2 linked regions of the Bombyx mori genome follow. Each later gene encodes a partner of the first gene's protein in a complex. Links are inferred from orthologs where the notes say so. Each region holds a gene or a part of one and is shown on either strand. Other genes may lie near its edges.

What was found. Proteins that work in one complex are often made in the same cells at the same time.
Region 2: vacuolar protein sorting-associated protein 54 (region 1) and vacuolar protein sorting-associated protein 52 homolog share a complex: the UniProt entries of both Homo sapiens proteins name them as parts of the golgi-associated retrograde protein (GARP) complex. The link is inferred for Bombyx mori from reciprocal best matches to the Homo sapiens genes VPS54 and VPS52.

What each region holds. Positions count from the first base shown.
Region 1 is NC_085118.1:10,580,808-10,588,390, reverse strand, and holds vacuolar protein sorting-associated protein 54, read left to right. Parts: upstream 1-3,254; 5' UTR 3,255-3,413; coding exon 3,414-3,508; intron 3,509-3,788; coding exon 3,789-6,348; 3' UTR 6,349-6,718; downstream 6,719-7,583. UniProt on the Homo sapiens protein: Acts as a component of the GARP complex that is involved in retrograde transport from early and late endosomes to the trans-Golgi network (TGN).
Region 2 is NC_085110.1:11,267,736-11,275,318, reverse strand, and holds the start of vacuolar protein sorting-associated protein 52 homolog, read right to left. Parts: upstream 4,815-7,583; 5' UTR 4,638-4,814; coding exon 4,392-4,637; intron 3,822-4,391; coding exon 3,676-3,821; intron 3,598-3,675; coding exon 3,030-3,597; intron 2,834-3,029; coding exon 2,678-2,833; intron 2,583-2,677; coding exon 2,464-2,582; intron 678-2,463; coding exon 554-677; intron 10-553; coding exon 1-9. UniProt on the Homo sapiens protein: Acts as a component of the GARP complex that is involved in retrograde transport from early and late endosomes to the trans-Golgi network (TGN).

The DNA of each region.
Region 1 (7,583 bases):
CTGCTACCATCATGCGTATTTCTACCACGAATCTGAAAATATGAGTCAGGCGTAATTTCATACAATTGAGACTTCAACCTCATGTCATTATGAAGGTAACATTTACACTGTGATATCGTATGAGTTTCGGTAGCTACTAAATTACGAGTACTAAATACCATGTTGGCGCAACGACAATAAAAAAAACCTCTCAAACTATGATACTTAGGTTATAACTAAACCGTTCCCGAAATCAAAACTGTAAAACAATTATTTATTAACTAAATATATGATGGGTAGTCGTATATTGTCACTGAAGTATAGGTCTATGTATATTGTTGGTATATTGTGCGCTGGATGGCAGCTGCGACAAACTACTTTTAGATGGCGGTAGTGTCACGTAGATGAAACACAAAAGTTTTGACAGTTGAGACGGCGAATAGCCGGATGCGGAATTAGTTATAAGCCGTTGCTCGGAGTGCTCTGCACGCATTTGAACGGGAAAAATAATTTAAGCAAGTAAAATAAAGAAAACCACAATTCTACACACCGCAAATGAAGTTTCACTTCTTTCATATGCACCAAGTTGCACGCGTACCGTTTTTTTTTTGCTTATCAGACTGAACTCTTTTTCATTGTATTATATTGTGTTATAAATAACTCGATCGATTTTGTTATTATTTATTTATTCTTTATTACTATAGTTAGATTCATAAGCCAGGAATCTGACTCAAATAAAAAATCTAAATGTTTGTTTGGATTCCAAATTTACCCTTTTTATACTTAAGTAGAAAGTAACATAATAAGCTACCTTAAATACTTTTCACATAGATCAAGGAAAATTAAACAATACCTATCCTAAATTATTTCCTAGCAATAATCATGGTTACCTGACAAACACCAGTATTACATGTATTTACTCAGCGCCTAAGTTACATTCAAAGCTCCCTGAATAGAGTTTAAATAAGACCTAGAATTAGATTCAATTAGTAAGTATCTGAAGACAGCGTCGGAACGTTACTTCGAAAAAACGGCGCGGAAATATGAAACAAAACCGCTGGACTTGGTGATAAAGCGTGTTGTGAACACGCACGGGTAGGTACTACCACCCTGCCTATGTCTTCCTTGAAGCAGTAATGCGTTTCAGTTTGAAGGGTGGGGCAGCCGAGACTTCGAACTAATGTCTCAAAGTGAGTGACGGCATTTTCGTCGATGGTTTCTAGGTGCTCCAGTAACGACTTAATACCAAGTGGGTTGTGAGCTCGTCCACCAATTTAACAATAATAAAAAAAACAAAATAAAAAACTTCACTTCTTTTGAAGAGTAATTAAACTTTCTGTAAATTACCACTATTTTAATCAAGAGTTATTTCATTTCATCTCATACAATACCTAAAGTTCACTTAGTTCATCTCGTTTTCCTTTGTCACCTTCTCATTTCATTCCGAAATCTCATTTCAAAAGAAATCTTTTATTGGACACCATTCAAAGTAAAGGCTAAATAAAGTCTTTCGATTTTTTTTCCTAAGAGGCTCAAACCTGACTATGTTGCTAACACGAACCCTAGCAAGAGCCGTGCTTTGCAGAATCTACCACCGATTCGGAAACGCGACCCAGTGAGAAGATCCGGCGAGAAACTCAGTGGGCTGTGTCTGTGGGTTAATTTACTCGTCGAGCCCTTCGTCGCAAATGACGGGATCGACGAGAACGATGGCCGGTGCTTGAGGTACCTAAAAGGACCGTTAGTGGATCGGGAGGATCCGAAATGACGTGTTTCGTTGACTGCTTTCCATTCTGTCCGCAGGATCGGGAATGTAGTTACCAGCGGCCACGATGAGAGGGTTGTCGTGTTGTGCCGCTTTGTCGAAGTGGCGCATCGATGTCGACTGTAGATACTTACTGATGGACTCTAAGTCCAAGTCGTCATGGAGGTCGATGTTCCTGACGAACCATGGGGTTCCGACGGCTATGCTGCAAAAACGGGATTGAATAATTTGGAGTGATTTTAAGTTAGTGCGGGCCGCGTGAGCGAACACTACACTTGCATAGGTCACGACGGGGCGTATGCAAGTTTTGTAGAGTGTCACCTTATTTATAAGGAACAATTTACTTCGCCTGCAAATCATCGGGTAGAGGCGTCCTAGTATGAAGGTGGCACGGTCGAATACCGTCTTTAAGTGGGGGCGGACTGTCATCCATCTGTCGAGGGTGACGCCTAAGTATTTGACCTTCGGGGCCCACGGTATGAGTTAGTCGTACATTTTTTTATGATTGAGAGATTACTGGTAGCCCGGAGGCCTTTCCAGTTTCACCAGGGGGGCGAGCAAAGGCTCAGCCAGGAGGGGTGGGATTTGCTAACAGCTGCCCAAGCGCCTCCAAAGGAGACCTAACAACTCTAGGGCAGCAGCTTCGCGAATGAATCTACTACCGGATCGGAACCGTGACCCGCTGAGAAGATCCGGCGAGAAAGACAGCGGGCTGATGCATGGGTTAGGTTGCCCGTCGACCTCCTTGTCGAGTTCGACGAGTGCGGTTACCGGGGTCCCTAAGCCTGCTCCTAGTGTTAGAGCTGAAGGCGTCTAATGCAAAGGTTATTGGATCTGATGGATCCGCAAGGACGTGTCTAGGGCGTCGACGGTGACTAGATCCTGCATGATCAGGATTCGGTAATGGTCGTACATCATGATTGGCCGAATGGCAGAGGCGGAGGTGTTGACGCGTCTGGTCGGGAGCGGGATGCTCAATGTGGTATTCGGAGGGCGACCCCTTCTGAAGAGCACCACTGTGCTTTTCGTGGGGTTGATGTCGATGCTCCACTTCCGGAACCACTGTCCCAAGGTGGTAGCTGCTGTCTGTAGTCGCCGATGCAATAACGACTTCTTCCTACACAAGTAGTAGATAGCCGTGTCATCGGCGAAGAGCGCCAAATGGGTCTCCGGAGACCGGGGTACATCATTGATATACAAATTGAACAATAACGGAAGAGGGCGGAGCCTTGCGGGACTCCGGCTGTTACGTGACGGGGGCGAGAGCGCGTTCCCTCGACTCGATATCGGAACGGTCATTCGATGGTTAAGGTTTTTGACAATTAACAAAAATGTTGCAATATGCTTCCTTTCCGCTTAAAGTGATATTTTCCAGGTAGCCTTCCAAATGCGGTTCCCTTTCACTTTTGATGTTAGGCTTCAAATGTTCCTTTTAGAGATTTTAAACGTATGGGCTATATTTTCTTTGCCTCCAAAAACAAAAAACGGGACAACAATTCAAATGTCAATGTCACTTTAACATTTATCAAACGAGATGTCATGTCATCAGTTTTTAAAAAAAATGTAGCTATTTTTTTGCCTAAGTTCAAGTTTTCTTAGAGTCAATATTCGAAATTCATAAAGAAAAGTGTACTTATACATACAGAAATCAATCTATACTAAAAATGTTATGGAGGAAAATTCATCATCAAGCACGAATCCAGCATGGCAAAACTGTTCACACTGCCCCAGCCTTGTTTTCAGCACAGCAGCAGAATTTGAAAGGTTTAAAATTAAGACTTATTTTATAAATTAAGTGATCTTCATCTTATTCAATTAAGCGACGTCGGCACCTATAGCTATGCTCTATGATTTGGTATTTAGTTAATGACTCGGCGCTCGCTGAACGTAAAAGCAAATACATTAAGTATATATGGCTAATACAGATGAATGATATGGATGTTCACAAAAGTTGCTGTTTGAAATGGCTAGCGATATACCCTTCTATAGATATTCCTAAATGTTTTGTAAGCCCAATACTTATATGCTAATATTTATTTTACAGACATATACTAGATAAGCACTCCATAAAAGAGGGAACCATAATCCTTTGTCAATATGGACAAAATGGGATGTGCTCTGCATTACAATTTGGAGATTTACGGAAAGCTGGTTTTAAGTACCACATCCGAGAATATCATACATATACCAGGACACCTAATGAGTCTTGGACATTCTATTCTTCTTCACAAAATCTCCCTGCAGTACTGAATGATCCGAATAGAGGTAAGCAGAGCAATTTCTTCACGAAAACATGGGGTGACAGCTTTGTGGATAAAATTGATATACTTCCTAGTCCTTATTTACCAGATGTAACATTGACACATTTTGAATCTTATTGTAAAAAAATTGCTAAGAGGTACCGAAGACATTTAAGACTAAAAGAAAATTTGCCAGTTAAAAATAAAACTGCAATCATAGAAAATGATTGTGAAATACCAGATATATTCTATGAACCAGGTTTGCCATTAAATGATCCAGTGGTTTTCAGTAAAGTTTTTCCAAACCTTTGTAGTTCTGTAGATAATGATGTAGCTATAAGATCTCTGCAAGAAACATTGAGCACTTATCTGGATGTAATAGAAATGAATATTTCAAAGCAAGTAGCACAAAGATCAGATGCATTTTTTCATGCTATGCTTTCACATGATACAATAATGGAACAGATGGCAAAAGCTGTCAATACTGTTCAGAAAACAAGAAAACATATTAACCAAGTTAAAAAGAATCTGACTGAATGTCCATTGAAATTAAAAAGCTTAACTAGGATAAATTGTAATCTTGGTCATGTTCATGAAATTCTTAAGCTAATGTCAACAGTACAACAGACTCAACCTATGATTCAGCTATTACTCAGTACATCGGACTATGTTGCTGCATTGGATTTAATAGGCTCTACACAAAAAGTATTGTCAACTCGACTTACAGGCATACAGGCATTTAGACACTTATCTCCACAATTAACTGAAATGAAAAGGTTAATTCATAAAATGTTAAGTAATGAATTCCTAAAATTCATTGTATGTGACTTAAATAGACCACTAATAGATGAAAGTGACATTCCTGAAAAAGATAAAATTATATCAATTGTTTCTGGCATTCTTCGTCTCAAAGAATTTGATTTTCTAGACACATTTAAAATGGAAGCTATGACATCTATTCAAGCTACAATAAAACAATCAGTAATTGAAATTATTTCACAGCGAGATGGTTGTTTTGAAATTGTTTTAAGAGGATCAAATGCAGATAACATGTGGCTATTGTGCAACGAAGGCATTTTATTTTTGCAAAAAGTGACTCCAAACTTAGTTATGTTATTTAAAAGAATACTATCATTAACAAATTTGATTATAGATGTAAGTCAAATGGAAGATGTTAATGGGAGTGATAATGAAGAGATTTGGTCAGCTGAAGAATTGACATCTATTGAAGACAAATTGAAAAAAATGATTGTTTCATTGTCAGATTACTGCAATGAAAGATGTGCTAACCTAATTGTAACTAAAACAGACAAAGATTATGTGTGTTCTGATATGTCACAGTTATCTCTCCTATCAAATTTGATTAAAGAATTTTGCACCAAATGTGAGGATGTAACCGGATATTGTAGTAATGCCATGAATTTGGCTCTAAGGAGCTTTGCTATGAAGTATATACAGACACTTCACACTGAACGCAGATCTCAATTAACAGCTTCTCTAAATGCTGAACGATGGAAAACTGCAGATGTTCCATATGAATTGCAAAGTGCAATCACAAAAATATGTGAAATTCAAGAAATACCTCCTAATTTACTGTATGAAAGTGGGAAACCAGACGGAAAATATCTTTTTATAAACAAAGAAAGCTATGCTCTGGTAGGGACAGTTCAACTACTTATAAAAATTTTATTGGAATACTGTGATGCAACCAGACAATCTCCCATTATAGTTCAGTATTTAGTTCATTGTATGTTAGAATTATTAAGATTGTTTAATTCTCGGTGCTGCCAACTTGTTCTCGGTGCAGGGGCAATACAAAGTGCTGGACTTAAAACTATTTCTACATCCAATTTAGCTCTAGTATCTCGATCTTTACAGGTTATATTATGGTTTTTACCTATGATAAAACAGCTGTTAGAGAAAATACATTCTTCTGAGGTATCATTGAGCGGTTTTGTTGCTATTGAGAGTGATATTGCTAGCCATAAACAGGAAATAGAAAATAAGATTTGCTTAATTGTAAGTAATATGTTATGTTCTCAATTAACAGGGTGGGATGCAAAGCCCCCAGTTCCTTCTCAAACATTCCGCAATATTTCAAAACATTTAGTGAAGTTACATGAAGCATTAATTGATATTTTGCCACCTGAACAAATAAAGTTTATATACAAACGAGTACATGATAATTTTAAAGATAAATTAAGAGAACAACTAATTAAAATGAATATAGTTGCTAATGGAAGCCCCCAACATGGTGTAGTGACTTCTGAATTGACATTTTACTTACAAACTCTAAAGACACTCAGAGTTATAAACGATAATGATGCAGAAGACAATATACTATATGACGTTTGGTTAAATTAACTTTTCCAATATTTTATGTAAAGAAAACTATCTATTTATAAATATTACATTAAGTCATCACTTCTACTTAAAATACTTTATGATGATGAAATATTGTTCTCAAATGCAATTGTAGAAACAAACCAAAAAGGTATTTTTATTTCAGAACTAGTTAGCAAAATAAATAAAAATTATCGGTTTTGAAAAAATCGATGATTAAGCTATTGTCATTTTTTATTAGAATCTTTAGAGGCGATCATATTATGTACTATAGATAACCAATCTGAACATGGAGATGCGATTGATAGGTATTTAATCTAAAGTTTAAATTATTAATCTAACATGTATTTATTTCAAGTGTTTTAAGTTTTAATATAAATATTTATTTTAATTCAGATGTGTTTTTTCGAGTATATTTAAACAAAAAAAGGATAAAATAGCTGACAATCCTAAACGAATCCAAGTAAAGATTTTCTGAGATTTTTGCTTTCAACACACGACGGCTATTGGTATAGCTTAACTATGGAGGGTAGAGGTAAGGAATACCATCTTGTACAGGAAACAGGTTTAAAAAGTGCCCACCTGTAAACATCAAAATTATTGTTGGTAGACTGACCGAAATAGTGCTAGTATGGAACAAGGGCGGATCCACCTTTGGCGCCAGGAGGGGGTCACATAGTCGTGGGCAAGTTAAGAACTTATAATTTAATTTTGGTAACAATAGATAATAAATAAATCATGACGTTCTTCAATTAGTCCAAGTTAGTTCAAGTCCTGGAACTAGCTCAGGGGGGGGGTCATGACCCCCATGACCGCCCCCCCCTGGATCCGCCGTTGGTGTGGAAATTGGAAATTATATGATTGAAGTAGTGTGGTAGTTTATGGCGCTACTTAAATTTGCTCCCTTACAGCGGACACTTTTGAATAGGTACATTGAGATGGTGTCCTTTCCAGAGAGTTTTAAATCAATGGCCCTTTCTACTATGGAGAGTAAGCATAACGATCTTTTTTTATATCCCATATATTTCGTTTATCAATCTTTTTGCCCTTAGTTCCTTTTCAACCTGTCTACAAAAGCGTTCCGATAGAGCGATAATTTATAGGGTACCCACCTAAGTGTGTCTAAATTAACATATATGCCAAATTTCTTTTTCAAATACGTTTTAGCGAAAAACTTTAACACAACCAACAACCGCATCAAACTTTAGGATTTTTAATATTAATCGGATTCTATATAAACTTTGTTCAATTTAAGG
Region 2 (7,583 bases), on another chromosome or scaffold:
TCGTGTTATCTGTAAAATGAAAGTTTTCAAGTAATTCATACTTTTACAGTTATTAACATTATGAATGACCTAGGTTCTTAGGACTCCTTTATGAATAATACGAATGTAAGACTTATATAAATATTATATAACATACTTATTTATTACATATATGAACTCTTAATGTGAAAAAAATGTAGTTTTGTGAATTCCAGATTCCACTTTCAAGGTTTCGTCATCGTAGCGAGATGAGATCGTAAAATAATTTCAAATAATGACAGTTGTTTCAATTTATTTATATACGAATATTTCTGGAATGATTACACAATTTTAAGATACTAAGTTTGAAACATAGCAAATTTATAATAATATTTTTTGTATTTATTACACTATGTATTTGTACACATTCGCGGACTAAAAGCCTAAGGCATTCTCTACCAGTCAACCGTAGGCAATGCAGAGAAAATAATTAGAGGTGTATTAATACAATTAAACCCAATTATATTGTAGGCAATAAATCCAGATCTAAAGCAAAATAATTTATACTAATGAAATTTAAATTGTAAATATTTACATAATGCGGTCCCATTTCCTTGTTTGACAGTTTAGAAGGGTCGCAGTCCCGTACGCTTTGAATGTTCAGTTTTAATACATATTGTAGCCGAGGCCACAAAGTGTTGTATAATGATTCCCAGTAACTGCAACAACATACGTACGAATATTAATTAGTTTAGCGTTTAAACTGACATAAAAATTGTGGTGTTGAGATTTACAGCATATCATTCTGTTTCATAGTTTTTATTTAATAGACTATTTATTTAATAATTAATTTATTTGATCAATGAAAACTTTAGGAACAAGTCCTTGTAAATAGTTAAGATGTTTTTCAGGGCTTTGTTAAATTTTTTGATTATTCAAGATTCTATATAAGATCTAATATATTATAAAATTCTCGTGTCACGGTGTGCGTGATATATATCCTTTGTAAACGTACTTTTCCTTATTCAAGGTTTCTGTATTCGCAGCATATTTACGGAAATACCCGATCCAGTGGACCGGATGGTAAACAGTCGACGTCGCCCTAAACACACTTCATTACGGATCCTCCGGATACATTAGCGGTGCTTTTAGGTACCTCAAGCACCAGTCCTCGCGACGAAAGGCTCGACGAAGTAAATTAACCCATAGACATAGCCCACTGAGTTTCTCGCCGGAACTTCTCAGTGAGTCGCATTTCCGATCCGGTGGTAAATTGTGCGAAGTACTGCTCTTGTTAGGGCCAGTGTTAGCAACACTCCCGGTTTGAGCCCCGTGAGCTCACCTACACGTCAAGGAGAAGCTGAAATAGCCTCTCAAGGCTATCAGCATAGGTAGGAAAAAAAACTTACAAAACATATATTCTGTGAATAAGGACCTTTTACTGTATATACATTTATCTGCGTGTTTGGGTCAAATGTAGCAAATTAAACCTCTACTTATCATACGGAGTTGAACTTTTACTTCTTGGTTCAATTTCAGTGATGAGAGTATTTTTATGGTAAGCAATGACCATAAAAATGAGCTTTAGGTAAAGCAACTCTTCAAAGGTACACAGCATAGATATGAGATTTTGTTGTACGCATTTATTATGTGTGTATTTTAGATTTTATCGTTACATGGTGTTGCTGCGCTGAGGGTTGGTTTCTGAATAAGGAACTCTTCAATGGGCAGCATAGATATTAAAAATATATGCATTCAGTTATGATGAGTGATTTCTCAGTTTCATCATCTCATGGTTACAGCCCTCAAAATGAACAGCACTGGCACAATCTACTTGTATACTAATATTATAAAGCTGAAGAGTTTGTTTGTTTGAACGCGCTAATCTCAGAAACTACCAGTTGGATTAAAAAAATTCTTTCAGTGTTAGATAGCCCATTTATCAAGGAAGGTTATATAACATCACGGTAAGATCAATACAAGTGGAGCACCAATAAAAAATGTTTCAAAATAAGGGTTTCAATAGCTTCTTAACATTCTACAATTCCAAAATATTGTTACTTTCTACATAAATGAAGTGGGGAGTAAAATTTAGCGTTATTCCAAAGTAACTATTCCACGCGGACGGAGTCGCGGGCAAAAACTAGTATATTGATATGCATTCAATATCAAAAGCCAGTTCTTGTCTGGTATTCACAATGTATATAGTATTCTATGGCTTATGTAATTCGGAGAGACGGGCCTCATCAGCATTGGGTTTAAGATAAGGAAAACTACAAACTCAAACATAGAACTGTTATGTTAAGCAGAAGTAAGTTTCAACCAAACACTAAAGTCAAGATGAGACTTGAGGACTGAGTGGGTTTATGGTGGGTCGAACATGACATACAAGTGTCGCCTCAGGGCTGATTAACCCTATATTTATTTACTCTTTGCCATATTAGCTCTTACCCTTCTAAATGAAGGTTTGTCAGTGTCGATACATTTCTTAATATGAATTCTCACCTGTCCAGAGCCGCAACTGCTCTTTTATGGCACATTAACTTATATCTGTTTATTAATTGGATACAAAGAAATAGTGCCAAACAATCATAACATTCAACTACATAGTTTTCCACATTTTTCTGTAAAATAAAAAATTAAGATGATTCAATTCAATTCAGACTATTCAATTTCCAGAAATAAATATTTATGTACATAATTTTAATGGTTTACTCACTACAAGCACGGACAATGTTTTACCGAGGATTCTATCAAAGAGCTCTTGTGCATGGTTTCCTTTGACATGGAAGAATTCAGTGGTAAACAGATATTCTCTGCAACCATTGTCTACCAAGGCATATTGAAGACTTCTAAATAAGGCTTCATATGAATACTGAAAATAATTTATTTATTATCAAGAAGTGGATCAAAACATGAATATAGTGTCATTAAAAAAATGATATGCATACAGCAAGCAATAAATATTTTAAAGTTGTTAATTTCATATTTTATTTAGGAATGAAAAGATTTTAATCACTTGATTCTATAAACGAGAAACCAAATGAAATTTGTAATATTGTATTTTGTACCTTTGTTTTTTGCTGAACATGTGGTACAATAATGGGTGCTTCTAGTTGTTGGGCCAGAACATCACCTCTATTCCCTATAGTGAATATTGTACTTTTATTTTTTAAATTAGATTTCTGGAAGAATCCTCCTTTAGATCCATCCTCAATTCCCATTAAGTCATCTTTGTTGGGTGCTTCTTCATATTTCAATTTATCTAGTCTTGATGCATATGACTTGAAGTATGAATAATAAACTTTGCTCAATGTATCAATATATTCATTGCAAATTTCTTGAGCCACATTTCGTTCATTGGTCAATACAAATTCAAAGAAAAATTTGTATTTCAGCATGGCATTTTGTGGTATTTGATAATTTGCCATTGGTTTTCTGAATTTATATATTTGTTCTAAAATATATGTTCTTATCTTTGACACTGCTTTTATCTTTAATTTTTCCAAAACGTCTTTGACATCATGACAAGCTTTAGTTTCTTTGAAATCTTGTTCCTTTACAAAATTTAATTTTTGGTTTAAAATTGCCAACTGCACCATGAATTCTTTGTCGGTAACTGGAACATTGTTGATACCACTGGAATGTAATAGTAAATATAATAGAGTACAATTAAAATCCATAAAAGTGGATAAATGAATCCAGGCAATCACTTACAATATAACAGTTTCCGACACTGCCATGTCTTCTATGAATGCAGATAAAGGTCCCTTAAGCACTTGTCTATTAGATAACTGTACTGACATATTCACTGAACGCTTTTGTAAACTTATAATTTCATTGCTGATGCTTCCTAAATCATTCTGTTACAAGAAAAGTTATCATTAAAGAATACAATAGGCACAACATTTTTCAATAGAGCTATTCTCAACATCAAAATTTTCAGTTTATTGGCAAGTAGGACCTGTTTGTAGTTCATGTTTACATTCCAGGGAATTCCACAGTACTGAAATCTTTAGGTATGATATAGTATCAAGATTAACTCAAACTCTCTCAACTCAATTAGAAATTAAAATTAAAGTTCTCAGTTAACTGTCAGAGGTATTTCAGTTCACTAGATCTTATTGATAATAGTTTCTCTGTCTGTCGAACTCCTAAGCCTTTTAAACAAGCACTAAAAACTAAAAAATTAACATTTATTTGAGACTTTTTTCTATAAAGGTAATAGGTATTCTATAGTCACATTATTATAAATATTTTATTTCCTAGCATTCCCTAACATGCTTTGTATTTATTTTATTTTCCAAGGAGATGTATTTTTCTATCTTTATTGTGTGAAAGGAGAGGCCTATGCCCAGCAGTGGGTACCAAAGGGCTGAAAACTATAATAGTGTTGTAAATCTGTTTTATGCGGTAAATAGAGATAAATTTACCTGAAACACCAGTAGCATACTCTCCATTTTCCCTAAAATATTGTCACATTCTTCGATTTGATTATGAAGGGAGCCAATATTCTCACTTTCTCTCAAATAATCCGCAACAGATGCTTTTTCAGCTTCGATGATTCCTTTGTCGATTTGAAGAGCATATTCTCGCAAATCTGTACCATTACGGAGAACCTCTTGGATTTCGAAATCCTCAAGATTTTTGTCTAAGTTCATGTTGTTGTTATCAGACATGATTAAACTCTAGTGGAATGACGGGAAATCAACATTTATACTTGACTGTGTGCGTTTTCAACTATTCACATACATTTTACTTGAATTTTTAGGTTTTGTATTTAATTTTTTTTGTTGTTTTAAACAATTTAAAGCACTGAAACAGTGACACTACTTATGACGTTTTTTTCGTTTTTCTTTCTGGATGGACAAAGAGTTCAAAGCCCATACAGCCAAATAAAAAAAATATTAAAATCTCAGACTCTTTGGCGCGAACACGAAGAGCGAAATTGTATGAATTTTTGTTTTGTTGGTTTTGTTTCCTAATTTTAGGGTTTCTTCAGATTTAAACGTGTAATAAAGGTAGTTTATTAACCTCGTTTTGTGTTGAATGTGGCTTCTCGGGTTGTTCCAGTTTCTGATCTCATATTAAATAACTACCATTTTATTGAGACTTTATTCTATCTCATCTCATCTCATTTAATTTCATCCGAATTGATTACAGTCTCAAATTAATTAACTTCATCTCATTTTGCTTCATTATGTATATAAAATATGTATAGGCGTCCCACAAGAAAATATATGATTTTATTTCCCTAAGAAACTGTATGAAGTCTTCCAAGTACTGGTTGGCTCCTGGAGTTGTGGGTTGTGGGTGTTGAAGGCAGTAGTGGGTTTTCTATGTAGCGTGGGGAAATTAAGTTTTAAAAGTTTGTTACATGGTTTTGGTATGTGTCAATTTAAAAAGTAATTAAGTAAGTGTGGGTGAGGATTGTGGCCTTACTGTCAAAACCTACAAACACTCGATTTTTTTTTATTATTTATATGGGTGGACAAGCTCACAGCCCACCTGGTGATAAATGGTTACCGGAGCCCATAGACATCTACACCGTAAATGACACCATCCACCTTGAGATATGAGTTCTAAGGTTTCAGTAAAATTACAACGGCTGTCCCACCCATCAATTCGAAACGCATTACTGCTTCACGGCAGAAATAGGCAGGGTGGTGGTACTAACCTACTATTGCGGACTCACAAGGGGTCCTACCACCAATAACTATGCAAATTATAATTTTGCGGGTTTGATTTTTATTACACGATGTTTTTCCTTCACCATGGAAATCAATCGTGAACATTTGTTAAGTACGTATTTTATTAGAAAAATTGGTACCCGCCTGCGGGATTCGACCATCGGTGCATCGCTCAACACGAATGCACCGGAAGTCTTATCCTTTAAGCTACGATGACTTCAAATATTCTAGAAAAGTACGTTTTTTATTAAATTCAAGGGATGAAAAATAAACACACAAATTTAATGGATGCATAAGCATCAATGATATTATTCTCAAGAAATATTTACAAAGAAAATGTATAACTTTAACAAAAGCACAACTAAGAATAGAGTAAAATTATATTGAAATGTCAAGAAATGCCATTGTATTAATTATGCATATTGTAATTGTATTAAAGGACTTGTAGATAGAATAAATGAATGCCTATGTACACATACATATGAACATATTTAGTACATATTCTCGTTGATCTATTTAACTGATAAATTATGTTTTATATTAATATTTAAGAAAGTTTAACTGCAATTTACGACTATCAAACGGACAGGATCTCGGCATCAAGTAAAAAATACCGTGACGTACTTCCTAATTTGACATTTCTAGTAGTAGTAGTTTCAGTTAGTAGCAGTTTATTTTCCTAACTGTCTAACTGATGTTCAAGGTTTACCATTCTTAAAGTAGGTTGACCTTAGATAGGCCGCAGTTACTCAAACGTATTGCATGCATAGACATAGTAGTTGACAGATATAAACCCGGGGAAAAATAGGAATAAAAGAAACGACGTCGCTACTATATCCATGTCCTTACTGTATTTGTATTTACATTATGAAAGGATCGAAGAAGAGTAAAGAGGAGAGGTTTAATTAAAGTACACTATAATTAAATTTCAAATTTGTAAAAAAGTATAAATATGAAATAGTTCAACGACAATGATCGTAGTAGAATTTTTACGATTTAAGACCATCATATTTTCTAACAAGTAGGTACATTAAAAATATAAATATACATATAGTAAGTGTACGAGGCATTAGAAATAGCACAACCAATAACTGAAGTAGGCACTTAGCCCTGTTAAATGGTGTACAAGAATTATTATTACAATAGGGCACTGTAAAGTTTAACAAACTTTGTAGAAATAACGTATGATGTTACACATAATAGTCTAAAAATTAATTATTATTTAAGTAGTAAATGGCTTATGAGTAAAAGTTCAGCATTCTGTTACTGTACCTATCTTAATACGTTACGTATGAATCGTACAAAATTATCAATATTCACTCGTGTTTTACACCTAATAAATTTGTATTATTTTCTATCACTTCGTTAATTTTAACATCAATGCATCATAACAACAATATCAATAATCAATACGAAGAACAGTCTCATAGAATAAATTGGACGTCAACCGGCAGCTAGCCAAGTCAAGATGGTATCAAATTTTTGATATCGATTTGTATCTATTAATTACAGCAAATTTTTGAACTATGTTTAATGTTTATGCTTAAACTTACTAGCAGGAAAGGATCACAGATGTACAGGTCAATTGCTAACTATGTTTTAAACTTGTCTTAACTTTATGCACACGCTGTGCATTGCAGACGTTACTAATGAAAATTTATTTTATCTATCTACGTGAAAAATGCATGTAAATAGTAAATATAAATATTTCAAGTACAAACGATAGTTATTATGTTTAAATCTAATAAATATAGAAACGTAGAGTCCCATTCACACACGCATACAAATTCGTCTCGTTTCATGTAAATAATGTACTTAGTAATATTTATAGAACTGTAGCATAAGTGCAATTATTTTTTTCATAAAGATGACTCGATTTAAGTAGGTATTCCAGAAATATTTCGAATTATTGTAGTTGGTAATTTTAAATTGTCA